4 linked regions of the Alligator mississippiensis genome follow. The protein of the gene in region 3 purifies or fractionates together with the protein of the main gene of each other region. This does not show direct contact. Links are inferred from orthologs where the notes say so. Each region holds a gene or a part of one and is shown on either strand. Other genes may lie near its edges. The genes, in order: VPS13C, PRKACA, VAPB and PITPNM1.

Evidence for each region.
Region 1: the proteins of VAPB (region 3) and VPS13C purify together in Homo sapiens (co-immunoprecipitation; 3 studies listed by BioGRID and IntAct, counting the BioPlex papers as one, with this or other methods). This does not show direct contact. The link is inferred for Alligator mississippiensis from reciprocal best matches to the Homo sapiens genes VAPB and VPS13C.
Region 2: the proteins of VAPB (region 3) and PRKACA purify together in Homo sapiens (affinity purification with mass spectrometry; 4 studies listed by BioGRID and IntAct, with this or other methods). This does not show direct contact. The link is inferred for Alligator mississippiensis from reciprocal best matches to the Homo sapiens genes VAPB and PRKACA.
Region 4: the proteins of VAPB (region 3) and PITPNM1 purify together in Homo sapiens (affinity purification with mass spectrometry; 5 studies listed by BioGRID and IntAct, counting the BioPlex papers as one, with this or other methods). This does not show direct contact. The link is inferred for Alligator mississippiensis from reciprocal best matches to the Homo sapiens genes VAPB and PITPNM1.

What each region holds. Positions count from the first base shown.
Region 1 is NC_081834.1:32,718,356-32,726,017, forward strand, and holds the start of VPS13C (intermembrane lipid transfer protein VPS13C), read left to right. Parts: upstream 1-4,599; 5' UTR 4,600-4,644; coding exon 4,645-4,744; intron 4,745-5,131; coding exon 5,132-5,175; intron 5,176-7,662. UniProt on the Homo sapiens protein: Mediates the transfer of lipids between membranes at organelle contact sites. Necessary for proper mitochondrial function and maintenance of mitochondrial transmembrane potential.
Region 2 is NC_081831.1:24,686,341-24,693,739, reverse strand, and holds the start of PRKACA (cAMP-dependent protein kinase catalytic subunit alpha), read right to left. Parts: upstream 3,234-7,399; 5' UTR 3,173-3,233; coding exon 3,040-3,172; intron 1-3,039.
Region 3 is NC_081832.1:8,560,908-8,568,741, forward strand, and holds the start of VAPB (vesicle-associated membrane protein-associated protein B/C), read right to left. Parts: upstream 3,014-7,834; 5' UTR 2,961-3,013; coding exon 2,903-2,960; intron 2,477-2,902; exon of another isoform or gene 2,462-2,476; coding exon of another isoform or gene 2,446-2,461; intron 1-2,445. UniProt on the Homo sapiens protein: Endoplasmic reticulum (ER)-anchored protein that mediates the formation of contact sites between the ER and endosomes via interaction with FFAT motif-containing proteins such as STARD3 or WDR44.
Region 4 is NC_081825.1:170,460,965-170,469,073, forward strand, and holds the start of PITPNM1 (membrane-associated phosphatidylinositol transfer protein 1), read right to left. Parts: upstream 2,979-8,109; intron 2,865-2,978; exon of another isoform or gene 2,560-2,864; intron 2,375-2,559; coding exon of another isoform or gene 2,358-2,374; coding exon 2,280-2,357; intron 1,809-2,279; coding exon 1,594-1,808; intron 1,206-1,593; coding exon 1,084-1,205; intron 1-1,083. UniProt on the Homo sapiens protein: Catalyzes the transfer of phosphatidylinositol (PI) between membranes. Binds PI, phosphatidylcholine (PC) and phosphatidic acid (PA) with the binding affinity order of PI > PA > PC. Regulates RHOA activity, and plays a role in cytoskeleton remodeling.

The sequences.
Region 1 (7,662 bases), on a different chromosome or scaffold from region 3:
CACTCTCAGGAGTTTCTGGGGCCCAGCCACTTGGTACCTGGGGACACTACCTCTTGTGCCAGCTGGACTGCTGCAGCAGCATCCCAAATCCATTTTTAAACATACCCCAAAATCCATGTTTTTCCACAATTAAAACAAAAGATCACTCTATACACACACACACACCTCGAAAGAGAGTCAGTGATCAGTTGGGCAATGCTTTATTGGTATATTTACCGTGTTAAAGTAGTGTGGAAGCCTACTAGTGTCTCTATCATCATGATAAAATAAATTCTAAATACCCATGTGTTGATGTGTGCTTTTGGTTTTCTTTGCACATGATGGGTGTATGATGGGGCGATGTGGTGTTTGCAGGAAGGGGATGGGATGTGGGTTGATGTGTGGGTAGGTGTGAGGCAATTGCTGGGGGGACCTTATGGGGGGGCTGCTCAGGACGGGTGGGTCCCCTGGCCCCCACAGAGTGCAGCCCCCTACACAGCACATGGAATACCCCCCACACAGGGCCCAAGCTCCCCCCAGGAGGGCCCCAGCCCCCCTGCCCAGGGTCCCAGCTCCTTCCTGGAGGGCCACAGCCCCTCCCCCCCACACAGTGTCCCAGCTTCCCGATGGAGGGTCATAGCCCTCCCCTGCCCAGGGTCCCAGGCACCAAGAGGGCCCCAGCCCCCCCATCCAGGAGTGGGGCGCTCTGAGCCATGGCGGCAGGACCTGGAATAGCATGCAGCAACTGCATGCCAGGCCCAGCTGGGCCTTGCTGGCCCTAGGGCCTCTCTGCTGCCCGGCCAGGCCATGGTGGCAGGACCCGGTGCAGCACGCAGGGACCACATGTCAGGCCCAGCCAAGTTCCACTGGGGACTGTCTGCTACCCGGCTGGGCTGGTCACTTGGCAGCAGGACTTGCAGTGTGGGGAACATTTTTTCATTCCTGCACATGCCTCTTGCCCCACCTCAAAGGGGTTTGAGATGGGGCAAGAGGCACGTGTGTGCTCGTCTGGATGCATGCCATGAGTTTTCAATGCTCTGCTGCTAACTGTACTTGGCATTAGGTAGCTGCCTCTACTTGTGAAGACAAGTAAAAAAAATTAATACTTCAGCCTTCTCTGCATCATCCATAACTAAATTGCTTTCTGCATTCCATAAGGGACCTATGGTTTCTTAGATCTTCCTCTTACTTTTGACATACTTGTAGAATCCCTTTTTAGTGCCAATGTATAGCCCTTGCCAGTTACATGTCAAACCATGTCTTTACCTTCCTAATTTTCTTCCTGCATGCCTGTGTGATATTCTTATGCTCTTCCCTAGTATTATGAACAAATTTCCACTTTCTACTTTGTAACTGATGAACATCATAAATAGGGATGTACTCTATATGCAATTTTGCGTTCTTCACAGAAACTGTGAAAAAAAGTGTTTTACACGAACCCTGCAAAAATGGAGACTTTTGTGTGGAATCAACAGGAAAAAACTTACTAAAAATAAGATGTTGGCTTTCCAGGGGGAGCCAGCAGTCCTCAAGGCCACTGCAGCCTGGCCGGTGTTGGGGGAGCAAGAGCCACCGGCATTAAGGATACCAGCAAAGATGGTGGCTGCTCCCTTCTCCCCCAATCAGCAGTGAGGGGCACGGCTGCACGATGGGAGACCACTTTGAAAAGACCGCAAAAAATGGCACTGCGCACCATGAGCGGCTTGTGATTTTTCCCTCACCTCAGCAGGAATTAAGTAGATCCCTAATCATAAGCATCTCAGTACCTGTGTGTGGGATAGGAAAAGAAGCTTAATGTGCCCTTCCAGCAGTTAATTTTCTGTCTGACTAATTTTTTGCAAACAAACATGTATAAGACAGGATCAAACAAATAAGAACAGCACCACCAAAAGTAGCAACAAACAAAACCAGTCAACCAAAACCTCAGAATTTTACACTTTAAATAATTGCTAGCGTTTGCCTTCTAGGTTTTTAGTTGACAATTTGGAAGGCTGGGACAAATTACTTGGGGCAAATTACTTTACACAGGAAAGCTCCTGAAGTATGCAAGATCTTGTTTATGCTCTTGCTTTATCTCAGAATATTTGTTAGTACTTCTGTGATTTATTTCCTAAAAGGTTCTGCGAGTGCTAATTTGTATTGTTCACAGATGGCTTTCTGATTCAATGGTATTCAAGTTTTGCAATGATATTATAGGTAATGAGCAATTTTATGCATGTTTACTATGATTACATTGTACTCAAAGTTAGAATCTATTTTTAAATTTCTGGCAGGTTGATATTTGAACTACATATTATGGAATCTGGCATTATAAACTGAATAAGGGATAAAACCAAGAACTCATTCTGTGCCATTGCTGCTATGGTATGTGGTTCTGGATCTCACTGCAAATGTATTTTGATTTGTTTATTGCAAATACCTACACACTTTTATTTTCTATATGCATGACAATGCAGCCCTGTGTGGTATAGTTGCAAACAGCGCCCATAACAGCAGTTTTTGAGAACCAATCTGATCTTTGCAACGGATTTACCTTATATTTTGCTGTGTTTGCAATGTACTTAGATATTTTAGCTTTTCACTGGCTAGTAATATTTCCAGTTAGGAAATTATACTAACTACACTTGCAAATGCTTAGTGAATAGTAAAAATGAAACCCATCTCTTTAAAAGTGTATTTGTCTGAGGCTAACAGAATAACCAGCTACCAAATTTTTGATGGAATTGGTATCTCTTCATGTGGCTTAGGTTTGTCTTGGAGATCTATAACATACTGCTAATTCTCATGACTCTTCTAAGAGCTGGCTTTTAAAGAGAATGTGCTGTTCTATGTTTGTAAGGGCTGTTCTTTTGTGGATCATGGACCCCTTAACATTTTCAAATGACTTTGTGGAGCTTCTTTTAGTCTCCTTGAGATTTACAGTGCTCTCTACTGTGAACATAAATACTTGCTGACCTGTCATAGAAGCAATACTTCACTTTTTACTTCCTCTGCAGTGCTACTCACTCCTGGAAGAATGTTAAAGGGGTATCATTACTTCTTAATGATCTCTAATGGGTTCCTTTCCTCTGTGAGTTACTCAGATACCTTAAAGTGCTATATTTTCTACAACAATGTGATAAAAGGTCTCCTGCAGAAGAAGCTGTATAGAAAAAAAACGACTGGCTTGACTCCTGTTACATGGCAAGGCAGTGACTGCTTAACCTAGTGGTTGTTAGTACAGAAATAAATAGCTCAAGTGAAAGATGATTGTCATCTTCTTAAATTGGAAATTAACTGGTAAAAATAAAATGGACAGCTGCTGACTCATTCTTACAAAACAAGGCGGGAGAGAGAGGAAGGATAAACAAGACAATCACTCCTTTCCCTATACCAGGGGGAGCTCCATTGCTGGAGTGGTGGGCCAAAACTACTCAGCTCAGTTGGAGACAGGCTGGCCTTCTGATCTGGCTGTTGCCACCACTTCTGTCTTCTGCCCCATGTACTAAAACTGCAAAATCTTGCTCTTCTCTGGTCAGATAGAATAGCTCTGCAGGCTGGTTTTGGCCTGTAGGTTGCCAGCCCCCGCCCTATATCATAAATTACATGAAGCAATTAGTCCTGGTGTTTGTTTCCTAAACCAGCACTATGGAAGCACCTGGGAGTCACAGCCTCCAGCTGTAGCTGCTGTCACAGAAGCAGTGCATTTGAACAGAACCATGCCCTTGCCTCATCTCCTGTTCCAGAGGTAAAATGTGTGTAGCAACTTGCAGTGAAATGGGAAACAGGGGCTTTGGCACATCCCTGTTTGCACAGCAGGATAGATTTGATGATATTTTTGGTTGGGCCCACTCTACAGGGCAGTGGTGCTCAACCTATTTGCCACAGTGGGCCACACTTGCGGTCTTACCCTGTCAGGTGGGCTGCACCCACACAACTCGCTCCCAATGTATCCCTTTCAAAACCGTTTTGGCAAGCTGTCACCTGGGCAGAAGCAGTGTGCCCAGCAGCTGCACGTGGCCTTTCAGGCATGCTGCTGTCTGTCCTGCCTGTTTCCCAAAAGCAGGCACAAGGCACAACAACCCCTGCCCCCTCCTGCTGCTTCTCATCCGGCTGCGGGCCGGGGTCCCAGCCTGGCAGGCCCTGCCTCTCGGGCGGCGGGCGGGTAGGGCGCCATCATAACGGACAGTCCCGCTTTTTGCTACTCTGTCCTCTACTGAAACACAACCCAGCGCCTTCACAGCCTCCTGTTTTTCCAACAGAGAACATAAAGGCGTCGGCTTTTGTATCAGCAGAAGAAACCCGAATGTCCTGCGCGGGCCCCCCTCAGGAGCACGAGGCCGGAGCCGGCTCGCTCTCTTCGCACCGCCCCAGCTCCCGCTTGCTTGGTGCCCGCCGAGGGCGGAGCCGCGCGCGCGGAAGTGGCCCCGGCGGGTTTGGCCCCAGGCCGCGCTTGGAGGAGGGACGCGCGCAGCCCCACCCCGCGGCGCCCAGGAGCAGACAGACGCAGGGGGAAGCCCGGGAAAGCGCGGGCGCGCGGGCACGAGGCAGGCGGGGCTGTCACGCGCCCCCCGCGGTCACGTGAGGGGGCGGGGCGCGGCGGGCCGGGGCGGGGGGCGCTGCGCGTGCATTTCTGTGCGCTCCGCGCGCGCCTCGGGAGCGGGGTTTGGAGTCGCTGCCGCCATCATGGTGCTGGAGTCGGTGGTGGCGGAGCTGCTCAACCGCTTCCTGGGTGCCTACGTCGAAAATCTCAACAAGTCCCAGCTCAAGCTCGGCATCTGGGGCGGTAGGAGCTGCTCCTTCTCCCCTCCCCTTCTCTCCCCCCGCCGCGCACCTGTCGGGAGTCTTGGGAGGGGCTGCCCCCCCCTCACGGATCGGGGAGGGAGCTTCGTGGGGCTCGCCCACGCCCCCCCCCTCCCGCCCCGCACTGCGGGCGCAGAGCCCTGCCCACCGCCGGGGGGAGAAGGAGCTGCTGGAGGGTTGGCTCTGGAGCCCATGTGGTGCCCACAGCCGGAGACACGCGTGGATGGACCCTACCCCCAGGCACGTGCTGGTGCTAGCTGCCTGATTATAGTCCCTGATCCGCCTTGCACCCCCAGCATGCCTGGCTGCAGCAGTTTCGTGTCCCGTGGGCTTGCAGCTGGCCTGACCGCGCCTTCCTTGTGTCTTGCAGGCAATGTGGCGCTGGATAACCTGCAGATAAAGGAGAACGCCCTTGTAAGTGTTCCCACAGCACTGGGACTCTTAACCTTTCTAAGGGCTCCCCTTGCACCCCTGCCGCTGGGCCACGGGGCCTCCTGCTCCTCACTTGGTCACTGAGGGCTTGCTTTTAACTGCCAGTGATTGTTTCTTAAAACCTAGGGCACTGTTTGTCCTCAGGCTTGAACAGGTACAACTGCATGATGAAATGAGTCTTCCTCAGTGGGTCTAACCTCAGCCCCTCTCTCCACCCCATAGGTCAGAAACTGGAGATGGGAAGACAGTTTAACTGTGTTGCCCGTGTCCTTTCTATGTTCTTCTCCAGCTTGGCAAGAATATAAGAGCTCTTGTTGACCAGGTTGGGCTGCAGCTCCATCTTGTCCGGTCTGCTGGGCTGCTTTCCTTTCCCATGTGAGGTCCATCACTGGGCAGCGTACACTGGCTCCTTGGACTCCTATGAGGGGCGCTGGGCGCTGTCCAGGTGCTCTGCTCGGTGTCCCCCCTTTGGCATACTGTTTTTAAACCTCTGACCTCACTGCTGTCGCTGTTATGTCTAGTTGTCTCAAGCATTCAGTTGTTGCCTATCTAGTGACCTCCCTTTCTAAGGGAGGCCTATAGCATTTTCTTGTGGGCATTAGCCCAGGGTCTCCAGGCACTGGGCTTGTCACGGAGGCAGAGAATGGATACTGAAATGGAGAGTGACCTGGATATGATTAGGATCCAACCCCCCCCCCCCCCCCCCCCCCCTTCCTCTCCCACTTGTAGCCTTTAGGATTTAAGGTCTAAGAAGTTCCAGTTCAGAGTCTGTATCCCTAACTTATGTGCTCAGGAGCTACTGATGCCCCTTTCCTCCAAGAATTTGTCCAATCCCTTTTTCAATCTGGCTGAACTGTTAGCATCCACAGCCTGTGGTGGCAAAGAATTCCACATTTCAAGTAGAGGCTGTGTGAAAGCTTCCTCTGGTTTATTTTAAATTTACTACCTTTTACTTTTATTTGATGACCCCATCAAGAAGTCCATAATATTATGGATGCTCAACTCCAATCTTAGACTTGCTCTGTTTGCATATCTGATGGGTCCTTGTGTCTGTGTGGAGCCTCCTTGGCTCTAATCACAGTGGTAAGTTGTAGGCCGAGAGGTTCTCCTTTTGAGGCTGGCCTGTGCAGTAGGTGCCGGGACTGAGTGCTGCAGCTGTCACACTGTCACTGGTAGTAGTACTGGTAGGTTGGGGAAATAACAGGGAATATATTTTCTTCTTCACAACTATATAGAAAATATTTTGACCACATTTTCATTCTTTACAGTCCTTCGTTTACTTGAATAATATTGAAAGAGTTTTACTGGAATATTAGAGCTTAAATGAAGAACTCATTCTGTGCCACTGCTGCTATACTGTGTGGCAATAGATACAGTTCTGGGTCTCACTGGAAATTGATTTTGATTTGTTTATTACAAATACCTACATACTTTTACTTTCTATATATGCATGACAATGCAGCCCTGTTTGATGTAGTTGCAAACCAATCTGATCTTTACAATTGATCTACCTTTATATTTTGCCTATATTTGTAATGTATTTAGATATTTTAGCTTTTCACTGATTTACTAATATTTCCAGTTAGGAAACAACACTAACTACTAGGGCAGTGCAAAATTTTGCTGGCTGTTTGTTTCGAGACTGTTTCGACTCATTTCAAGCTTGAAACAGTGAAATCAAAATGAAACAAAGGGTTTTGAAAGAGCCTCGAAACAAAACAAGGACAATCATTTCAAGTTCTGAAGCTGGGCTTGCCTGCAGGGAAACGAAAGGTAAGGAGAGGGAGAGGGAAGAGGAGGCAAAGGACGCAGTGAGGGCATGCTTTAGCACACGCTGGAGAAGAAACACCTGCAGGAGAGGAAAGAAGAGCTCTGTCACAGTTTGGCTGCCTGAGATGCTGCTGATGCTACTGCGCTGCTGCTCACTAAGTTATTTTACCTCTTGTTATTTAAAGTGGTGGACTGAGATGAGGCTGTAGGGGAGGAGGAGACCTCATTGGGGCGCACAACTGTGTCACGTAGAGGCCCCAGCACCAGTGCGGGTGCGCACAGACACGCATCAGGAGTTTTGCTTGTCAGCACCTTGAGGTGCAGTTTCCCAGAAACCCCTGCACCTATGTCCTTGAAAGCCGGCAAGCTTTATGCCCTCAGAAGGGACTACCGTCCCTGCTGTTTTCATCCAAATCTGCTCCAAAATGACAGTTATAGGCAGTTTTGTGCTTCCCCATTATAGCCTATGGGCGAAACATTGAAACAGCTTCAAAACAGCAAACCTGTTTCGACTAAATGAAACGGAACAGTGCTTTCGAAACGAAATGAAACTTGAAACGAAGCACTGTCCTGTTGAAATGGAAGTGGAAAGGAAATGGTGCTGTTTCGCACAGTCCTACTAACTACACTTGCAAAGGTTAGTGTATAGTAAAAATCAAACCCATCTCTTAATTTGTATTTGTCTGAGGCTAATGGAAT
Region 2 (7,399 bases), on a different chromosome or scaffold from region 3:
GGGCGGGGGGATGCCCCAGAGGATGTTGGGATCTGGCAGGGGCTGGATGAAGACTTTGCTCCCAGCAGGGACAGCAAACATCCTCCACCACCCTGCCCTCCCAAAAGCCACAGGGCCCTGAGCCAGCCTGGGGTGGGGAGGGGGTGAGACTAGAAACCCTGCAGCTGCCAATTGTCCCCTGGGGATCCCCGCCCCCCTATACTCCTGGGTATTGCTGGTAGTGGACCTGCCTGCTTTACCTGAGAAGGGGAGAGAATCCAGGTGTCCGGGCTCCAAAACCCCTCCCTTCTCTATGCCATCCCTCCCAGAGGTGGGAGCCCAGATACCTGGGTTCCTACCTCAACCGCCTCCCCTCTCGACCTCAGGGCCTGCTCCCAGAGATGGGCAGGAAACCCAGGTGTCCAGGTTCCCAGCCCTACCCTGCTTCAATCATTACCCAGTAGGGCCCCTCCCAGTGCTAGGGACAGAACCCAGGTCTCCAGGCCTGCCACCTGCCCAATCGATCAGGACAACAAACCAAAGAATGAGCCCAGGAGTTCAGGTTCCCACCTCTGGGAGGGTTGGTGTGTGATAGGGGCTAGGTTCAAGGCAATCAGACAGCCTGCCCCCCCACCCTCCAAGAGGGACCAGCTTGAAGTACCTATTATCACCCCCAATGGCCCCATGCTATTCCCCCTCCCACCCCACACCAGCTAGACTCAGTGGTGGTTCCCCACAATCAGCTCCAAGAGAGCCAGGCAGCGCCAAAACCACCCCCTCACCCAAGCCTTCTGAAGACCACACCTGTCCCCCCCAACATAGGGATCAGTGCAGCCACCCCTGGGATAGCAGTCAGGTTACTGCCCCCACCACACCACACCCCCAGATGCAGCTGGTTTGGGGGGCAAATGGGGCCAATAGCAATGCAAGCCATAGAGAAAGCCAGCCATTTGCTTGGTGCCAAAACACAGCTCCTTCTGGGGGGTGGGTATTGGGAGAAGGGGGGCATCAGCCAACAGCAACATGACCTGGTGAACCATCACTGGAATGGCACCAAAATGCAGCTGGTGCTGGGGGGGGGGGGGGGGGGCGAGGAGGAACAGGGCAGCAACAAAGAGCAAGCAACCAGTTCACCCAGTGAAAGACTGCTCCAATGGCACAAAAATACAGCTGGTGCTGGGGGGAAACAGGGCAGAGGATGAACTGCCAACAGCAACATGACCTGGAGAACCAGCACTGGAGCAGAATAGCATTAAGATGCAGCTAGTTCCAAGATGGAGCAGCATCATAGGATGAAAGGCCAAGAGCAACACGACCTGCGACCTGCCGGGAGCTGAAATGCAGCTGGTTCTGAGACGATACAGGGCAGGGGGGAACCATCCAGCAGCAAGGGGACCCACAGACACAACCACTCAGCTAGCACCAAAATGCAGCTGGTTCTGGGGAAGGAGGTAAATGGCTAATAGCAACACGACCCAGAGAGATAGCCACCTGTTCACAGCCAAATGAAGCTGGTTCTGAGGTGGAAACAGGGGAAGGAGGTGACTGGCCAACAACATGCCTTGGACAAGCCATAGCTTGCTTGGGGCTGAAATGCAGCTGGCTCTGGGGAAGAAGCAGCAAGAGTCTGGCAACCTGAAGACCCATCCTTGCTCACAGCCAAAATGCAGCTGGTTTTGGAAGGAAACAAGGGAGGGGGTGAAGGGTAAACAGTACTAGTGCCCAGAGAACCAATCACTCACTCAGGGCTGAGATGAAGCTGGTTCTGGGGGGGAGCAGGGCAGGAGGAACAGCCACCAGCAACGTGGCTTAGGGACCTGGTGCTTGCTCACTGCCACATGAAGCTGGCTGTGGGGTGAAGGGCAGTGCTGAATGGCTGATAGCAACAAACCCTGGAGAAGCTATGGCTCACTGGGGACTGAAGAGAGACTGATTCTGGGGGCAGCAGGGCAAGGGAGAACTAGCCAACAGTAACAGATGCTGGACTAGCACCAAATGCAGCTGGTGCTGGGGGAGAAGCAGATCCGGATCTGCCCAGTCCCAGGCCTTAGCCTGGCAGGATCCACCTCCCCCCCATCCCCGAGTTTCCATTCCCTATGCCAGCCCCAGCCATGGACAGTGAAGGACAGACACCATGGCCTTGGGCCTGGAAAGAAGCAGCCCCCCTCTCCCCCAATCGATAAGCCACAGCCAGAGGGACCTGTTCAATGGGCGATGAGGCGGGAGCCACCCCCATTCCAAAGTACCCAGACAACCCTCCCACAGCCAAGAGAACCCAGGGGTCTGGGCTCCCAACCTCCCCCTGCTCTATCCACTATCCCAACCCCACTCACTTCACCAGCTGGGAAGAGAAGCCAGGCATCCCAGCTCCCAGCCTGGATGGGTTCCAAAGCCACCAAAACTCTCCTTCCCACCCAAAGCCCCCTATGGCTTGGGGGGGTGGGAGGGAAGGGCAGGCAGGGGGTTTAAAAGGGCCTGCACAACACTGGCAGGTGCCTGGCACTGCTATTTTTGCCTGGGTGCCCATGTCAGGGGCCACTGTCACAGCCTTGAGTATCCAGTGCCCCTGCACTCCCCTTCCCACCTCCCCTCCCCCAGAGCTGGAAGAGAACTCAGGTGTCGGGGCTTCCATCCCGATTGCCCTAAACTAGATCTCATTGATCTCCCGGCAACTGGGAGAAAGCCCAGGTGTCTGGCCTCCCAGCCCCCTCTCTTGCTCTAACCACTAACCCCCCAGTCCCTTTAACTGCCAGGGAGAAAACCCAGGTATCCTGGCTCCCAGGTCCCATCTTTACCTCTAACACATCAGCCCAGCCAGCCCAGCTGACAGCCAGGACTCCTGTGTTCCCCAACCCCACTCTGGGCCCGTTTGCCAGCAGCCTGCCTCAGTTTCCCACTATGTGCAGCAAGTGGGGGGGCACTGGTGATGATGCTCTTGATGGGTCCAAGCTGATGGGGCAACAACATGGCAGGAGAGGGTCATCCCCCTGACCCCTCCTCCATCATTCTGATTTACCCCCCACTGTCCCCCCATCTGCCCCATCCACAAGCCCCACTCACTCTGCTGGTTCCAGGCGGCTGCATGCTCTGTCTCAGGAACCCTCCCTGTGCTTTCAGGATCCCCAGGGTCCCCCCGTGGACCCCAGGAGAAGATGCGCCCGGCCAGGCTCTCCAGCCTCTGCAGTGCCGACATCTTGCCCCCCTTGGCCTTGCTGGGGGTGGGGCTGGGGCCAGCTACCTCTGGCCCGTGGCTCATGCTGGATCAATGGCCACTGAAATGTTGGTAGCCGCAGCCATTCCTGGACTGCCCCCTCCCCCCCCACACACCTTGACACAAAGGATTGGGGGCTCAGCTGGCAGCTACACCAGGGTCCATCCGGCCTGGCTTCACTGGAGTTGGGGGCCTGGCCTGGCACAGGGCCCTTAAGCCTGGCTTCTGGGTGCAGAGATCTTGGCACCAAGATGTCAGTCACAGGATGGCTGGCGAGTTTCACTGCTGGGGTCTCTGGTCTGGTCAGCCTCAGAGCTGCCTTGATCAGGATTTGGGCAGTTTTGGGGTCAAATTCAACAGCTGCCCTTGGCTGGGGTCTGGTCAGGTTCACGATCTGCTTGGGGGAGTCCAGTCAGTTTCACAGCCGCTGGAGTCTGGTCAGTTTCAGGATCAGCTGCTGCTTGAGGGTTCGGTCAGTTTCATGCTGCTGGCTCCTTTCCAGCCTGGGGGGGGGGGGGGGTGTCCCCTGGGTCCAGGGCTGGAGTCCAGTCAGTCTCCCAGCTGCCCCCCCTGGGGCTGGTCAGTTTCAGGTCAGTTAGGTTGCCTTGGACTGGGGTCTGGTCAGTTTCCTGGGAGTCGATCAATTTCTGCTGATCAAGGGCTGCTGGCCTCCAGTCAGGATCACAGTCAGGTTGAGGGCTGGGGTTCACGGCTGCTCCCCACTCCAGGGGTCCCCCCAGGTCCAGGATCAGCTGCTGTTTGAGGGTCCTGTCAGGTTCAGGGCTAGAGGCTCCTCCTTTGACTTCCATGGAGCAGACACGTCACAGGCATGAAATAGTCACAGGCATCAAATAGTCGCTCCAGCTGGAGGGGGCAGGGGAGCCCTGGGTGGGGGAGGGGGGGCAGGGAGGGGACAGCCCCCACAGTGAGACCCCTCCCACCTGCAGGCCCAGTGCCCTCTGGAGGCAGCTACTAGGGTTGCAAGCCAAGGGGAAGAAGTAGGGGGGTTCCTGATCAGCTCAATCCAATCACCAGCAGCAGAGAAAGGGGCAGCAGGTCCGTGAAGAGCTGCCCACACTCAGGCTGCACCCAGCTCTGGGGTGGGGCATGGTGGGGGAAGCATGGAGGCTCCTTGACCTTGGAGAGTGGAAGCCAGGGCAGGCGGGAGCAGAGGCCTTTCCGTGCCAGGAGGCAGCAGTGGGGGAGCCTCGAGGCCCCAGTGGCTGCAATCAGGGTCCCCCTGCACAAGCTGGGGGGTGGTGGGTGCGGGTAGGGGCTGTTAGCGCTTCTGTCCCCTGCAGGAGCCATGGAGGATGTGGCCTAGCAGCCGCCCCAGCAAGTGCAGCCACAGAACGACCTGCAGCCAGAACTGGAAGTCACTGTCGGTACTGGTGCCTGCCTGCGAGACCTTGCCAGGGGCTGCCTCCATGGTGCCCCCCCACTCCAAGGCTCAGCTCCACCACCCCCCAGCACAGATCACAGCACCCTCCCCTGTTGCCAGACCCCTCCCCTGGCAGCAGATCCTGTGGCCAAGCAGGCTGGGGCGGTGCCAACCGCTGGGTATTGTTGCAGGGAGGGACCCCAGGGACCAGCCTGGGGAGGAGGGCAGGCACAGCGCCAGGTGCCCTTAAAGGCATCAGCGCCTGCTGAGGTGTTAACCTTTTGGGAGCTGGCACAAGCTAGAATGACCCCCTCCTCTACCCTACCAGTGCCCCCAGCTCCAGTGGTGGGGAAGGGCAAAGCCAGGCAGAAGTCTGCAAGTCTCAAAGGGAGAGAGGGAAGGAACCCAGGAGTCCTGATGGACCCACCCACCACACTGCCCCTCCCCTATCAGAACCTTCACCCTCCCCAAGCACCACCAGACCCCCAGCGGCTCCCAGGGCCCAGGAGGGAATCCAGAGGTCCAGGGTAGATGGGCACCCCTAGCCTGGCCAACCTCATGGAGCCAAGGGCTGGCAAGAGTCTGGAGGCTGTCAGAGGGGTTCAATGCACTCCAGAAACCCCAAGCAGAGGGCGGGACTGCAGCAGAAGGGGAACCCCCCAGTCCATGCCTGTTTGAGCAGGGGGGAATATTCCTTCCTGACCCCAATGTAGTGACAGGCTGAGCCTGAGCTGCAACAAGATGTAACCAAGGCCCTCTGGGTCTGAGTTCACCCCCATCCTGGGCTACAGACAGCACTTGACACTGTTGAAGGAAGAGAGAAACACCTAAACCCCTATAAGCAGCAGGGGTGGGGAAGAATTCCTTCCTGGCCCCACATGGCTGCCAGAAGAGCCTAGAAGCCTGGTAAAAAAACAAAACAGACCCTGACTGTGGGTCTCCGATCACACCTAGCTGCCCAGGCCTCTTCTCAGCCTCCAAGGCCAGATGGGAGTCAATCAGGGGTTTCCAGCCCCCTTGGGGGGCCCAGCCCACAGGCTTAATGCCAGGTCCATCATGACCCCCGCACCTGGAAGGGAGGGTAACAGCCTATCACTGCTCCACGCTAAACTGCCTCATTACACCCACACCTGCCTTAGTTTCTCACTAGCAGATGAGGTCCCTGCCTCCCACCCCACACAGCGACACCAAGACCTCCATCATTAACCACATCACCTCAACAATGTATCCAGCCCAACCCCCTTCAGGAGGCTCCTCCCACCCACACATTCCCATGACGACCACTGCTGGGGGAGGTCGGTAAATTAAACCTGTTTGGGGCTGGGGTGGGGCCTCTGGGACCCAGGAGTCCCCTGGAGGACCCCCATCCCTTCCGCCCCCACTCACCGCCTGCCTCCATCTTGCCACTTTCTGCTGCCCTGGGGCTCGGCCTACGGTGCCCTGGTGGGGTCAATCTATTTGGGCCCAAAAGCCTACTGCTGCTGGAGGGCTGGGCTGGGTTGAGCCCTCCAGGGTGCCGTACAGGGGTTGGAGGGACAGAGGCCTCCTGGGAATGCTCCTCTGGGGAGCCTGAGTTTGGTCAATAGGCAGGGAGAGAAGCCCCTGATCTGACCCCTCTGGGGAGCTGTAGATGTGCCAAGCGAGCCTCTGGGTGCGACCCCTCCTGGATGCTGTAGCACGGCCAACAGCTAGGAATGGAAACCCAATTTGTCCCCTCCGGGGCACCACAGATTGGCCAGTGGGTAGCAGGAACCCCTAAGCATGAGCCTTCTGGGGAGCCGTAGACTGGCCAGTGATGGAAACCCCTGGATATGACCCCTCCAGGGAGCTGTAGCTTGGCCAACAGCTATGAATAGAAGCTCCTGGTTTGCCCCTTCTGGGGAGCCATAGGTTAGCCAGCAGGTGGGAATAGGAACCCATCCTGCCTGACACCTCCGAGATGCCATAGATCAGCCTGCAGGCAGGGATGGGAGCTCCCAGGCACAACCCCTCCAGGGATCTGGATTTTGGCCGACAGGTAGGGAGGGAAGCTCCTGATTTGACCCCTCTGGAAAGATGTAGACAGGCCAAGCAGGAGGCACGGTGGTGGTGTGATCCCCGTCTGAGGGCCAAACTATGGATCTCTAGAGGGGTTATTCCCAAGTCACAGTTCTCCCCCTGCGCCTCTGTACAAAACCTCAGAGGGGTCAGCCGAGCCAGGCACAGCCCTCCAGCAGATAGAGGTGCCGAGTGGGGGGTGGAAGGACAGGTGGTACTGGGCTCTGATACCCACAGGGGCAAGAAGGAACCAGGGAGGTTGGGGCAGCACTCCCCGGGCCTGCACTGAGGGGGACCAGATTGGGAGGCAGACTGCAGGGGACAAGTGCCAAGACCCCAGAACCCAGGTGATCTGAAGCCTCCCCCCCACCCCCATCCCCCTCATCAGGGGGCAGTGACCAATCAGTGCATTTTATGGATAGGATCCAGTAATAAACAGCTGCCCCCAGGCCCCTTAAAGAGACAGTGTGAGATCTGGCATCCATGCTTTTTATTCCCCCTCATACTGAACTGAAGGTGGGTTTAAAGGGGAAACAAGCTGCAGCTTTCCCATGATCTCCTGGGCCTGCCACAGCCAAAGATGAGCCTGGGACACAGGCAGCCCCACTTCCTGTCCCAACATACTTCTGTCTGGCAGGTCTCACCAGTGTCTATTCAGCAGGGCTAGAATAAGGCAGGCATCAGCTACTAAGCCTGACCACTGCCCAACCCATGGCTCCAGGGCCTCCATGTCCCCCTTTGATCTAGTCCTTGCAGCCAAGAAAGGGTTAAACCACAAAGGAGCCAAGCAT
Region 3 (7,834 bases):
TCGCCCTTCCCAGCATCCCTTAACCCACAAGGGAAGCAAAAACATTAAAACATATCTAAAACCAAAACTGGCTAACCCCCCAAACTGTTGCATACGAATCAAATTTTAACTGGGAGCATTAACAAGCCAATCATTTCTCTAATGCTGCTTTGCACAGGCAATCTAAACCCAGCAGAAATCCTAAGTCTGCCCTCTTGGGAGCTCATCCCATGTACTGCAGGGTGCTTTAAGAAACAGTATGAATATGAAATTAGAGACTGTCAAAATGCGTGCAACAAGGGACTGGAAAGACAGTACATCTATTATTTTCCCTACCTGCAAGCATCGAATTCTGATATCTAAGCTAAAAAGGCTCTTTTTAAACAAAGGAGTAGGGGGAAGTTTGGATGCAGTTTTTTTTTTTGGAGAAGGTAAAAAAGCATTTATGTGATGTATAATTGTGACCCCCTTTTCCATCACCTTCAGCACAAAGTTTCGTTATTGGACCTACAGGATTACACTGGCTGACACCAACGTAGGAGTAGGACTAGAACGCCTATCCCACAGGGGCCTCAGCTTGGCCACGTGCTGCTGGGGCTATGATCCATGTCAAGCATACAAGACTCTTTCCCCCCTTTCCTTCCCAGTAGCTGAATTCCCAGCACAACACGTACATCTGCTACTGATGCTACTTCGGTGACGATGGGAGCCCAGTTTTAGAATTTCTGCCAAAACAGATTAACGTGAACACTTTCTTTGTCAAAATGTTGATAAAAAAAAATTCCCCTCCAAACCTGACCAAAATGTTTTGGAATAAAAAAAAAAAAAAAAAGGTACAGTGCCCTGTATTATTTTAAAAGGTCTGTCGCAAACAAGAAGTCTTAGAATTTCTCAAAAAAAGATTCCCAAAACAAAGTGTTAAGGTGTTAAAGTTACCAAAAGTGGGAGCTGCTATGCACCCATTGCAGGCACACACACTAGGGGATATTTCCTCTCTCAACATTATATTTCAGCCCAGCATGCTGGAGCTTTTTTCAAGCAAAAGCTAACTTTCTGGTCCTCACACTTAAACAGAGTTGTATAAATTTGAGAGATACAGACTTCACAAACGTTTCGATCCAGAAGTGGAGGTATTTCAGTTATGGGATATTTACAGACTTTCATTTCCAATACAATATAATGAAATCAAGGCCCCAATCCTATGGAAACACTGAATCCTTTGTAAAGGAACCCTGTGGTCCCCATTCCTCAACTGTATCAAGTGTTTCTGAAAAGTGGTATTTAAAAAAGCAGATTCACAACTGCTTTATAAAACCATGGTCACATGAGACCTACCCAGAGCAGAATCAACTTTCTGAATATTACAAATGCACCTTTTCTGAATGAGTATATATTATTCTATTTAAACCAACTGGCTACAAGTAAGAGAGAGTTATTACTAATGAGTGACTATTTGCATACCAAACATCTCTTGTAGGTGTCCTTTGCCACAGACCATCCAAGCTCAGAAGCGACTTTGCCTTTTAAAAAGCACATCACTTCTGCAGCCATGACAGGAAGAGATCTAACAGCTAGTTGACTCAACTTCAGCTACTATGGACTGTTTACCCTTGACCCTCAAGGCCATTATTTTGTCAACCTCTGGTTAGCTTTCTTCACTCCAATAAAGACTAGACGCTGCTTGTTTGAAAACATCGAGTTTGTACATACGAGAGAAAACCAGACACCCCCCCCCCCCCAATTCAAAATTATAATAAATCTCATTCACAAGTCAATGCCAATTAAAGGTCAATTCTTTTGCCCAGCTCCCTACATTTTTATATACGTCTGTTGGAAAGGATTTTTGCTCGCTCAATAAAAAGCCAAAAGTTATTTTTAACATTACTACCATATAATGCAATAGTTGGCTTCGAAAATGTGTTTGACACTGTTACCGTGGCAACGTGCAAATACTTTGGCCTGCAGCAAAAAAAAAAAACCCAACCCCCCCCCCAAACCCAACACATTCATTCCAGGTAACGTTTTGAGCTATTAATTTTGTCCCTCTGCAAAAGAGCAGATTATCACGTTATTTCCAAGATGCTGGTCAACGACTAGGATAACACAGTCACAAACAAGGGTATTATTGAAGATTTCAGATCTTATTTCACCCTACCGATGTCCTCACAACCCACACCCCTGTATCATTGAAGCCACACACTGAAAACGGCAGCTCCCAGGAAAAATAAATGCGAGCAACGAGGGGGAGAGAGAGAGAGAGACACCATGACATGCCAAGGAGACGGAGGCTGGGAAGAAGGCGAGCGGGCCGCGCTCCCTTAACTTACAGGACTCCTGCTGCCCTCGCCTGAAGCAAAAAGGGCTGGGAGGCGGACTGTGTAAAAACCTCCGAACGGCGCGTCGCACCCACACCCGCTCCATCCATCCATCCATCCATCCATCTGTCCACCCCATCCATCCACCTACCCGTCCATCCGCCCATCACCTGCGTTTATAAACAACGAAGCCCTTCCTCCGCTTCGTTTGCAAGGCGCTCATCTTAAAAAGAGATGTAGATGTGTATATCGTTTTAAAATTAAATTAAAAAATTAAAAAAAAAAAAACGGGAGGAAGAGAAAAAGGAGGGTGGTGGGCGAGGAGGGGGGCAATGCTGCTCATTAAGACCAGGTTTTTTCCCCCCAGGGAAACCCACTGCACATGCTACCCCGCGTTTCAGCTCCTTCAGAGAAAACCCCCCCCCAGACCCCGGGGCAGCAGGGATTGAGGCTGTCGGAGCCGCCAGGCCCGGCGGCGAGACGTCCCCGAGGGGAGGGAGAGGGTCGGGCCCTCCCAGCTCCGGCCATTTGCACAGGCCGCGGCCCTGAAGGACGTGTCCGCGCGGGGCCCGGAAAATGGCGGCGGGCGGATGGGGGTCACCGCTTACCTTTGAAGCGGAGCTCGTGCTGCGGGTCGAGGCTCAGGACCTGCTCCGCTTTCGCCATGTTGCTGGTGGCGGCAGCGACGGCGGCGGGGCGGGGCGGGGCGGGGCCGGCGCTTTATCCCGCCGCGGTGCTCGGCCGGGGGGGCGGGGCGATGCAGCACGGGGCGGGGCCGGGGGCGGGGCGATGCAGCACGGCGGGGCGGGGCGGGGCGGCCGCTGACGTCTCCCCTGACGGGGGCGCCCCGGGCCGGGCCTGCTGCGGCACCCCGCCCGCGTGGCGTGCACAGGCGGGGCTGTACCCCTAAAAAAACCGGGGTGCCTCCTTCAGGTCCAAAGTGCACCCGTGCTATCTAGCATGGCTATATTTTTAGGGGTTTGAAGCCTGCAATCTCCTAGTTCTGCAAGCCGGGGGGGCTCGGCTCCTCCTCTAGACCCCAAGTGGACCCACGCTAGCTAGATGTTTGTATTTTTAGGGGTTTGAAGCCTGAAAATCACCTAGTTGTGCAAGCCTGCACGGCTCGGCTCCTCCGTGCCTCCTTCACGTCCAAAGTGGACCCGTGTTATCTAGCATGTTTGTATTTTCAGGGGTGTAGGTTGTAGCCGTGTTGGTCTACGGACACGGGCAGACAAGGCTCCTTGGGTGCGTCGGATATCTTTTATTCGACCAACTTAAACAGTTGGAAAAATAATTTTCTTAGCAAGCTTAAGGGTTGAAAAACTCTTGGTGGGGCTGAGGAAGGCGCTGCAGTTGGTGCGCGCTGCTCCTGAACGTTGGTGACGCGTAGGGGGTGCACGCGGGTGCATGTGCACCCCCCGAGTGTGGCAGTGCACCCCCTGCGAAAAGGCACCACTGACACTGCTGGCAGCGCCTGCAGACGGTCGCTGCGGACACTGCTGGTGGTGTCCGCAGCCAGTCCGCGATTGCCGCTGGCTGCGCCTGGAGGTGGTTGCCGACTGCCGGTCGGAGCTCACCACTCTCCCCCTGCCGACAGTGCTGCAGCCACCTGTGGGAGCTCCTTGCTTGCTGCCGCCACTGACAGTGCCACCGCGGCCTGCAGGAGCTCACCGTACCGCCCCAGCCTCCAGGGCACGCGTTCGTGGTAAAGAAGCCAGAGGCTGGGCTAGTCTGCATGCAAGACAGGCAGTCAGTAACCGTAAACTGAGGAGTCAGTGGGTGACAGACAGGCTGCAGGGGGGGAGAGAGGAGGATGAACGTAGCAGGCAAATAGTGGAGAGGTACCTGGGGAGTCAGATGTCTGGCAGGTTATAATGTGTCATAAATCCAATGTCTATATTGAGTCCATGATTTTTTGTATCCAAGAGGTTGATGAAGTGAAGTTCGTAGGCTTGTCTGTGAAAAGTGTTTTGTAAATTCCCTTGGAGGATTAGAACCTATATTTTTAGGTCACATTTAGAGACTCTTCTTTTATCTATAACTAAGCCTCCTGACTTTATACCTGGAGTAGTTAAAAAAAATTAAAAAAAAAAAAAAGGCGATTGCACCAGGGAGATGCTGTTGCCGCACCCTGGGCACACTCTGTCCCCACCCACCCACAGGTATCCCCTCTGACCTAAGTATCCCTAGGGGTATGTGTACCCCCAGTTGACAGCTCCTGTTTTAAAGGTAAATAAAAACGATTTTTATACACTGTATGTTCCTCTATTATTCATATTCAAGTCCCTCAGCCCATTTTTCCCATAAGCCTTTTGTCTTACCAAGCACAGATTTGCCAACCATGGGAACTTCCAGGAATCTAATCCCCGTGAGGAAAACCTGTATAATATATTCCCAGCTTTGTAATGGCCTGAGATGTCGTGGTGGCCAGAGGAAACGCTACAAGGACACATTGAAAGCATGGCTCTAGAAAACGGATGCCAACACAAAGAGCCGGCTGTCAATGTTAGCCCCCGGGATAACAGGAAATAATGGCCGCGAGTTGTTGGAGAGTAGGTTCAGACTAGACATCCGTAGGAACTACTTCACAGTCAGGGCGGCTAGGATCTGGAACCAACTTCCAAGGGAAGTGGTGCTGGCTCCTACCCTGGGGGTCTTTAAGAAGCGGCTTGATGCCTACTTGGCGGGGGTCACATGAACCCAGTTTCTCTCCTGCCCAGGCAGGGGGTCGGACTTGAAGATCTACAAGGTCCCTTCCCACCCTACTTCTATGATTCTACCAATGGACTCCAATGGTACCGCAACTGCAACCAAACAGCAGCCCATTTTGAGGTAAGGTATCTTGCCCTTGCAGGAAAGAAAAGAGCAGAGGAAAGAAAAGGAAAGAAAACCTAGCTTATGGTTTACTCTCCCCTCTGGAAAAACCTGCAACTTCTGTGGACAGGTCTGTGGTTTAAGTACTGGACCCTTCAATCACTTCAAGAACCATCAATGAGCTGTGGTAGAGATTATTTTTGAATCAAGGGATTGCAGCCACTACCGCGGATTTCTGTATACAGGTTTCCCTCACCATCGCGGGGTTAGGTTCCTGAAAGTTCCCGTGGTTGGCAAAACAAAAGGCTTATGGGAAAAATGACAGGTGGTGGGCTGATACGTGGCCACAGAAAACCGTGGTTACTCAAAACCATATACCGTGGTAGCTAAAATAGAATATTAAGTGTGGCTACTCAAAACGGTGGTTGGCAAGGGAAACCTGTATATCACTTAAAGAATTTCTGAGTTGTGGTATACATCAGTGTTTTCCAACTTTTCCAGCCCAAGGCACACTTACGTTAATACATTTTTTCCGTGGCACACCTGTTAAGGCATTCCCTGTCCTCATACCGTTTGTAGCTCATTGCCATGGCAAAATTCTGCAGCACACCCATTCATTTCTGACGGCACACTTTTGTGCCTTGGCATACTGGTTGGGAAATACTGGTATACATGTTTCTCAGTCAGGGATTTGCCAAGTTTGGGCTACATACTAAAGCTATACACAGCATAGTTGTCTTAAAAACCGGCATTTTTATACACGGGGGGAAAAAAAAAATCACACTGGTTTTAAGAGTGAATTTTACTTATCCTGGGCCTTGGGCATGGGAGAAGAAATTGCACATTTGCCAAGATGAAGAGAAAACACATGGTGGGTTGATTTAAAAAATAAATAGTGATGGCAACGACTGCTCAGGGATTTGTGTGTCAGAATAAGTCTGAACAAGGTAAACTAGTGAGCATAAGAGAGGTGACTAAGTGCACAAGAAACTATTTTTTTCAGACTGCTACACCGTTACTACATCAGTCCAAATTCCACATGTGATGTGCAAAATACAGATGCATATTATACAGGTAAAGAGATAGTGTATAACATGTCTTATTTTCATTCCTGTCTATAATCACAAGTGATTTATCCAGGACTCGGAAGATCTGGAGTTTGCAATGACAGGGTTGTTCTAGTTTTTGGCAGTAAAAGCAATGGCAAATGATTGATATGCATGTGAAAAATCAACACCGCTAAGTGGGAGGGTTATATTACCATGTTCAACACTGAGGAAGTCAGCACAAGTACATGTCTGCAGTATTTATACCACATCTCAACACTTCAGCTGCTCTTGTCTATATTCATCTCTGCTTTTCAGCTGCTGACTTGTTCTGCTTTCTTCAGATACTCAGAACCTGTCCATTCTTTTATTTTCATTTTTTTCTGGGACATCTTTGATCTTGAATATTTTTTGTAGTTTAGTATTTAGCTTTCAGTATTATATAGCATAAGTGACAAACTGACAATGGTTATGGGCACAGTTCTCTACTACTGAAGTCAGGGGAGTTCTACCAATGCCTTCATAACATACTGAGATAGCTTGGTGCTGCAGTCCCCCAAATTCCCTCTCCATCTGAATGAAAACATGGTCAAATATAGTCACGAAAGTACAATGTGGATTTTTTTTTTATTCCTGCTGTATTCCTCTATTAAGTTTATCTACCTTGGATCTGGGACATTTTGCCCCATTATGATTATTTGTGGTGTTCTCATTTACTGTATCACCCTAAAATAGAAATTAATGTACAACATTTAACCAGATTTGAAACCAGACGAAATTTCATTTATTGTTCTAGAAAGGGGGTAACTTATTTGAGGAATGTTCTTCCTACAATAATTTGTTGATGCTCTGAAGAGTTTGCTTTGTATTGTAGCCTCTGGGGGTTTATTTATTATTATTATTATGAACAGATTGTTCTTTTTTTAAGCCGGACATCCTATGTCCATGAGCACACCCATGGCCATCAGTCAAAAACTTGCAGGCACATACTGGCTTTCATCAGTTACTAAAAACCCAGGGCAGCCCAGAGTAAAACTTGCCGCTTCCAAATGACCTAAAATTATAGACAAAGTATAATATATATATATATATATATATATATATATATATATATATACACACACACACACACACACACACACACACACACACACACACACACACACCCACCCCTAAAAGTATACAAACCGAAATACCACAAGTAAGCCTTCAAGGTACTGTTTATACCTCTTGAAACATCCCCCTTCTGCCCGAACAACGTGCGTTTAAACAAACAAACAAAACCAAAACCTTCCTCCTCCACCATTTAGTGATCCACCTTTTAAAGGATGCTGGGGGTTTATTATTTTACAGAGTACATTGTAACTAGCATCTTCAAGCCACACAGATTTGAGGGCTCGCCCATGTTTGCCTCCAGATGCTTTATATACTTAAAAAAAAAAAAAATCAATGTTACTTACTAAAGGTAAAATAAATTATGAGCCTAAATGAACATAGTCTGTCAGGTATCTTTAACAGGTAATTAAATAACATGTATATTTAGCAGTGCATGGGTCAAGTTTCCAGAGCTGAGCATACATTCAAGGCTATTTACAAAATTTATGTATCAATTACACAATTACAATTTACGTATCAATTACATCTCTTCATTTTCTGCCACTTCACTACACGTTCCCACAT
Region 4 (8,109 bases), on a different chromosome or scaffold from region 3:
GGAATGGACTTATACTTCTGTGAACAATACGAAAAAAAAAAAACAAAAAAAAAAAAAAAACACACAACTAGAAGGTGCACATCAAGCCTGCAGACAGACCTGCTCTCTGCCCTCATGCAGAAGTGCCTCAGAACCCCAAATTCACAAACTAGCATTCCAGGATCCTTCCTGCAGTAGAAGAGCCAAGGGGGAGGAGGGGGTTGGGAGAAGGGGAGCCACAGAGTCCCTTCCCCAGCACTACAGAACACTGGGCACAGAATATACAGAGCTTAAGCACCACTATGGGGCAAACTTGATCTCTCCAGGTCAGAGTACCCACTCCTCAGCTCCTACTCACACTCCACTAAATGGTTCCCATTAGCCCCACTCCATTCAGCGCACTTCCCTAGCCCTGGTGGGCAGCAATGCTGCCAATTAGATTTGAGGAGCTCAAACTGGGGAAGGACATCTACCCTGTCTCCACAAGTCCCAGATTTGCACTCCAAAGGCAGGGGACAGATGTTCTTGTGGGGAAGGAAGGGGTGGGGGAAAGAGTCAAAATTGTGTTGAGGAGGGTGGGGAATGAGGGACACATACCCTAAATGTTTACTGCCTGACTTGCAGAGGCATTCTGGTTCTCAGAGGGAGGAAGTTAACAACTCTCCACACTCGGGGAGAGTTTTTCTGCTGAAAAAGATTCCACATAACCTGGAAATGAGTCAAGACTGTTTTATAGCCAGGGGCTATAAGCTCTGGGGATTGTAGTTCTTTGCAGTGCTGAGCATATCCACATTACACCTGCCCTGATATCATTTTTTCCTGAGACAAGTCTGAAATTGGGTGCCACAGTTCTGCAAGAACTCCACTGAGAACTTGCATTAGTTCAGCTGCAAAAGCAGTGTAGCCCCCAAGCCACATCATGCCATATGTCCACATCCACACTGTCCTGCATCCCCTCCCTCCTCCCCACCAGGAGGTGACATACCAGAGAAGCCATTCTTCAACACAGAACTCTATCCAGCACTACCGGACAGCCCACCGGCAGCTCAGCCCACAAGGTCAGGTACCAGCAGGAACAGCCCCAAGCCTGGCAGCACTGCTCACCCAGAATCCTCTGCCTCTTCTCTGCAGCACCGAGGTTGAAGATGTTTGTCTGTTGGCCAGCATCGGGCCGGTAGTAAGTCTCAATCTCAATGGAAAACTTTTCCACAAAGGGACAGGTGTATCTGAAAGGTGGGAGCCAGCTTGAGAGGAAGGACCTCAGAGAGGAGGCAGTGCCGTGTGATGCAGGGATAGCCAACTCTCCCCAGTAGTGACCTCAGCTACCTCTGCCCTGTACTAGACTCCCCTGCCCCCTCCAGTGTTGCCAAGGCCTCTGAGGTGACTCCAGGACTGAATGCCCACAATCACACAGTGGGAAGAAGAGGAGACCCAACAAGTCTGCCCCAGTGGACAGTAGCTTCCCACCACCAACTCCTTCCCTCCAGAATCCAAGAGCCCACGCACCCCCGCCAGTCATGCACCCCCACTCCCAAGGCGCCCCTGCCTCCACCACCACCACATGCACCTCTTTTGCACCCTCTCCCTGGCCCACGCGCAACCCACGTGGCCCACCTGGTGCGTGTATAGGGGTAGGCATTCCAGGACTCCTCCTCCACCTGCAGTGCCGCCTTGGGCAGCAGGGCTCGAAACCAGCTGGGAATGTGAGAGCCCACATGGTAGATTTTGTGGGTGTACTGACCGCTGCCCCCTGGGCCATCACTGTAGGGCCTGTTGGCCAGGATCTCCACCCCACTGCCCTCCCCACTCGACTCCTCCCGGCTCTTCTTCTGCAGAGGGAAAACCACTGTGTCAGTCCTGAGCTGCCCTCCCACTCGAGCCCAGCTCACCGGCCACCACTGCCGACACCCGTAGTCTGTGCTCTGTGCACAGACCCAAATTCCCCATCCCACAGGCGTATCCCAGTCCGCCTCAGACCAACCCTCCTGCACCCCATGCAGAGCATCCCCACCTCCCATCCCGCAGGCATATCCCAGTTCGCCCCACGGACCAACCCTCCCGCACCCCATGCAGAGCGTCCCCGCCTCCCATCCCACAGGCATATCCTAGTCTGCCCCACGGACCAACCCTGCAGAGCGGCCCCACCTCCCCATCCCACAGGCGTGTCCCAATCCACCCCATGGACCAACCCTCCCGCACCCCATGCACAGCGCCCCCACCTTCTGTGGAGCCCAGCCCGGGCCCCAAAAGGAGCGCTTCAAGTCATGCGTTGCCCGTCCCGCAAAACACCATCCCCTCACCTGGATCATGTAGAGCTGGGCCACCTGGTACTCGTCCAGACTCATGGGCAGGAGGATGTGGTACTCCTTGATCAGCATGGCGACCCAAGGGGAACCTAGCCAGCAAAGGACAGCAGGGTAGCGCCCTTGGACCCGAGGAGGCACCTCTTGCCCCATGCCAACCCCGCCAACAGGCCCCCTGCAGCCAAGCCCGAGGGCGGGAAGCCCTCCCGCGTGGGAGCGCCCAGGCAGCAGGCCCCCGCGAGGGGGCGCTGCCCCTCCAGCCCCGTGCCCCCCGCACCTGTCCGGCTCGGCCGCGGCGGGGATGCTCCGGGCGCTGCAGGGGCGGGGCGGGGCGGGGCGGGGCGGGGCGCGCTCAGCACTTGGCGCTGGGCCCCGGCAGCTGCCAGCCGGCCTTGCACGCCCGCTCCCGCCCCCGCTGCGCGGCCTCGCCTGGCATCGCTCGGGGGGCTGCGGCCCGGCTGCTCCGCTCCCCCCGCCGGCCGGATCCCGAGGAGGAGCGCGGCGTGGCCGAGTTGGCTGGGGCGGGGGAAGGGAGGGACCTATTTTTAGCTGGTCTCGCTTCCCGCAGCCCCCGGGCTGGGCCCCGCCCCCGCGCGCGGCTCAGCCCGCCCTGCCCGTGCAGCTGCCGCTCGGGGGGGGCAGGGCAGGATCGGGACCCGGCGCCCAGCCTCCCCTCCCCGCCCCGCCAAACCGCACCTGTTCGCCTTTAAGAGCCCGCCGTCGTCCCCCCCTCTGCCTGTGACATCACGTTCGGTTACCGTGGAGACGACTGTGACATAAGAGGCCGGTGACATCAAACCAAGAAAGGGCATGAACAGGCAGAGGTGGAGAGGTCGGGACGCAAACTGGCAGCCTTTCCCCCTGCACGCGTGACCGTCCAGGATACCCCCAGAGCCCTGCTTGCCTTCTTCCCCCCAGCATTGTGCGACTGGGAGGAGATGAATGGGCAGTGCCGCCAGGAGGGATCCAGTCTGCCCCACAGCAATGCTACTGGTCGCTGGACGTAGGGATTGGTCAGCATCTAGGTTGGACGTGGGGCCATGGGTCCCTGGAGGGAGCCCCAGGCAAGGGGGAAGAGGTGGTAACCAGGTAGTGTTTGTGACAGACCACCCATTTGCCTCTTACTTCCCACTTCCTCCCAGCCACTGAGCAAGAGATGGAGAGCAAGATACAGAACATGCATATCAACAGCTCAAAAAAACCCTGCTGTTAAATTCAATTTTCCCTTTGAGTGCTTGTCCCACACTGCAGCATGGGTGATTTCTAGAGTTCACCTGGAAATGGGCTTTGGAGTCCTATACTTTTGGGGGCCCCCACTTCAGGAGGGATGTGGAAAAGCTTGAGTCCAGAGGAGAGACACTTGTATGATCCAAGGCCTGGAGGGCAGGCCATACAAGGAGAGGCTGAGGGATTTGGGACTCTTCAGTCTGGAAAAGAGAAGGCTCAGAGAGTACTTGGTGGCAGCCTACAATTATATGAGGGGGGCATCAGGACCTAAGAGAATAGCTGTTCACCACAGCTTACCAAGGGATAACAAGGTCTAACAGCCATAAACTCCAGGAAGGCCGATTTAGACTAGACGTAAGAAGAAAGTTCTTTACAGTGCGAGTGTCCAGGGTCTGGAACAGATGCCCCCCAGAGGGGGTGCAAGCACCTACTCTGGACTTTTTCAAAAAACATGTGGTTGTATTCTTGCTAGGGTCACTTGATCCCAGCTGACTTCCAGCCTATGGCAGGGGGGCTGGACACTGATCTCAGGAGGTCCCTTCCAGCCCCTAATGTCTATGAAATCTATGAAATCTAAAACTTGTTGAAAAACTGGGGAACTGCTTCAACAAAGGCACAGTGCTTGGGGATATATAACACTCCAAGTAGCTGTCTGTTGGATGTTATTTACATAAAGATTTCTCAGGGAAACCATCAAAATCACCTGGTATCTCTTGTGCAACAACCTCATAGCACACTTTAATATAATATGTAGACCAGTCTCCAAAAGTATAGTCTACAGTCTAAAATCACCAGGCTTATCATTCTTTTGGCCAGGGAAACAAGCAACCAAGATTTCCTAAAGGCTCAAGCCTTTGCAAGTGGAAGGATGTGGCTTTCTGACCATGTGCATCACTACACAGCTTCAAAGCTTTGGGGAAATGCCAGCAGGTCAATCAGCACTGGGGCAAATCCTCAAGACCATATCTGGATAATGAAAAAAATTAACAAGGGGCCTACCCTCAGTGCTTGAATCTCAGCTTTCTTGGTGGCAAGAAGTGAAAGTATCTCCATGGACAGGTGGGGCAGCAAGCAGGCTACCATATGCTGAACTAAGTTCAGGCCCCCCGAGAGAACAGGATCTCTCACCAACTGAAAGGCCTCTTGTCCCAGTCTACCTGGTCTCCACCTCCATTTCCTTTCCTTCTTGCCTGCTATGCCTTGTTGTTAAGAACATTAAAGGAACATTACTTGTCTAGAGAAGAAGAGAGATCCACCTGACTGCAGGTCATCCTCTTCATGGGTCTCCTCCCAACCCTACACCCTGCTCCTTACAACTCCTGGCCTGGTGTCCAGATTTGTAGCCTTACCTTGGGGGTTTTGAACCCCACCATCAGCAATGGCTACTCGGTCTGCACCCCCAAGCCTTTCTTAGGGTACCTCAATCAATTCTCAATCTAGTTGAGAAGGCTGATCGCCAGCTACTTTATTCCCTGATGCCATGGAAGTGCAATCAAATATTAATAAAGTTCCCTGTCTCCCATGGCTCACACATTACCAATTACTTACCAATGAATTCAACAGCCCCTTTTTCACACAACAGAAGATCAACTGATTATCCCCAAATCCACCCCCCCCTTCACTAGTTGCCCAGATTTATTATTAGTGAAATTACCAGCCTCCCTTTGATTCACAAAAGATCAATTAATTATCAATTAATTCCTCAATTAAGTCTCAATGAATTCCACAGTCCCAGCTGACCCAGGGCTGAACAATTTTAATCATCAATGAATTCATCAGCCTCCCTTGATTCACCAAAGATCAATTAATTATCCCTGAATTTATCAATCTTTATCCTTCATATTAATTACATTAAAGGTCCCATTCTCTCTCTCATCAATGTATTTGGATCCTTCCATCAGTTTACCAAGTCTGACAACACTCACTCTAAATTCGCTGCCTCCCTGGGAGCAGCACTTTCCTTTCCACTCGTCAAGTTTCCTTTCACTCGCCTCGTCTCACTCAGTGGTCTGGCACCGAGCTTTCCCCGTCTTCCCAGACAAGCTCACCGGACTCTTGCATTTTGGTTGGGAGTCCTGGTTCTGCATCTCTACACGGTATGCACAGCACTCCCAGCCTGCCATGCATGCCCCTCTCCAGGGCTAACTGTATGTGCAGGCTCCTTCCTTCTAGTCCACCAGAACTCCCACCGACCAATGAGGGCTCCCTCCCCCTGCACGTGCAGCCACGTGCAACCGGGATCCTGCTCTTTCACCCCAGACTGCATGCAGTCCACTCCTCCAGCCACTCATCCCCATCAGCTTCTTCAAGGTAAGCTTGTTCCCCATCCCTGCCCTGCCAGTGTTCATTGGCCAGAACAGGGACCAGAGCCAATTCCCAGTTACACCTTGGCTAGACCACAGAGAACTTCATGTCTCATAGGTGGGAGAAAGCTGACTGAACTCCTGAAGCTAACAGGATGTCAGGCATACCCCAACTAAGCTGAAGTTGTCAGCAGCCAAACATCACCTGTAGCAGATAGTCTAATGTGGCTGGCATAGAAATCTCTTAAGGCAGGGGTTGTCAACTGGGGGTACTTGGGAAGGCCCTAGGGGGTACACATGGGTGGGCAGGGATGGAGCGCCACCTCCCAGAAGCAGAGCCGGGGGCGGGGGGAGAGGACCAGGGTGCCCCTCTGCAGGCCGTGCAGGTGCCACCTGGCTGACTGGACACTGGAGGGGAAGGGAGGGGAGGGAAGTTTGCACACAATGACAGACACTACCACCCACCACCCTGTGCTGTTGCTGCTCTGCACGTGGCCACCACCACCACACCCCTCCCCCCCACACACCCTCCCCATGTCCGGCCACCAGGGGTACACTGATTAAAAAAGGTTGAAAACCCATGTCATAAGACAAGTAAGCTTTTGCACAATGCCAGTCCTTGTCTCCTTAGCTAGGTAAATTCATCAAGTCAAGCCTTTCATGCTATGCAAGAGAATGGTGATAGGGAACAGGACAAGCTGCACTGCAGTGTCACAACATTTGCATGGTGAGTTATGGGGAGCAGAGATCCAGAATGTGCATCTTGTTTTTGGACCAGCAGGGCTGAGACCAGTGAGAGCATTTAGGGGCACTTCACCAACATCTGAAGAAGGGAGCTTCAGATTAACTTCCTCAGCCAGAATGGGGCCCACATTAACTTCCTCAGCCAGAATGGAGCCCACAGAGTCCTGCCTTGCCTTGTACAGAACTCAAAAAATAAGGTATGGGTGAGGAGGCATGCAAGACTTTTCCTGTAGATGGGATGAGAGAAACAGCACTGTCTTTTGGTGCCTGGAACACCCAGAGATCGATCTGTTTATCCACTCATCTGCAAAGACAACCTGAAATCTTTGATTTCCTGCTTACTGTGCAGGGGTGTGCCTGCTAAGGCCATCTGCTGTCATATCCCTAAAGCAGGGAAATGCATTATCCAGAAGGGTATCTGATGGCATGCACACCAGTTTGGAGAGGTCATACATCTTGTTCTTTTATATAAAACATTATGGTGGTAGTGTCCATTAGGATCTGTAACCCTATACCCAGCATACCCTTAAATGTGGTCTAGGAATAGGGTGACCATATGGGACACTGGGAAATCTGGGACAGTGTGTGTGTGTGTGTGTGTGTGTGTGTGTGTGTGTGTGTGTGTGTGTGTGTGTGTGTGTGTGTGTGTGTGTGTGTGTGTGTGTGTCCCCCTCAAGTCAGAAGCACTGCTGCAGGAAGAAGCACATGGTGCTGCAGTACCAAGGCAGAGCCTGGAACGGTGCAACCCAAAAATGCATCCCCAGCAGCTGGGTGGCTGAGAAGGAAGAGCAGGGCGGGACATCCCTGCCCCCCCCCCCTTCCCTCAGGGCAGGGAGAGCTGCCCCATCCTGTTCCACCACTTCCCCTCCTCCTGAGGAAGGCTTGAACTCTCCCGGACTCTGAACAAAAGCTGGTCCCTCATCCCAACTCCACTGGGCTGTAGATTTGTACAGTCAGGTCAGAGCCAGCCTTAGGGGTAGGCAACTTGGGTGACCACCCAGGGTGCCATGGTCAGGGAGGTGCCCCTCCCCCACACCAACGTGAGCAGCCTATGTTCAGGAGGAGCCAGGTCGGGCACATGCAGGCAGAACAGTGCCAATTCAATACTTTTGTTTAAATTTTCACCAGCTGGCTGGGGCGCTGAGACAGCCTACAAAATCCAAGACTGTCCCAACCAAACCCAGATGTAGGGTCACCCTATCTAGTAACACCTGGCTTGGTCTTTGTGTGGTTTCAAAGAGTAGAGACCTTGGGCTTAAAGACTGTTAAAAAGCACTGCCCATCCCTGCAGGAAAACACCTGTCCCAAAAAACTAACCAGGGCTGACGGGAAGAATAGGATCCCTACTGACTGTCCTCCCTGATGTGGTAAAAGGACTAATAACCAGGAGAGTTGTTGCTTTCACACCCAGTAGATGCCTCTTTGGGAAATATATGGCCCATGGCCTACTTACACACATCCAAGCCTGTAATCTGGCATCCTGATGCCCAGAATGAACAGGCAAGTCCTCACTGACATCCATTCCCCAAAATTTGGAGGCATATTATCAGTAA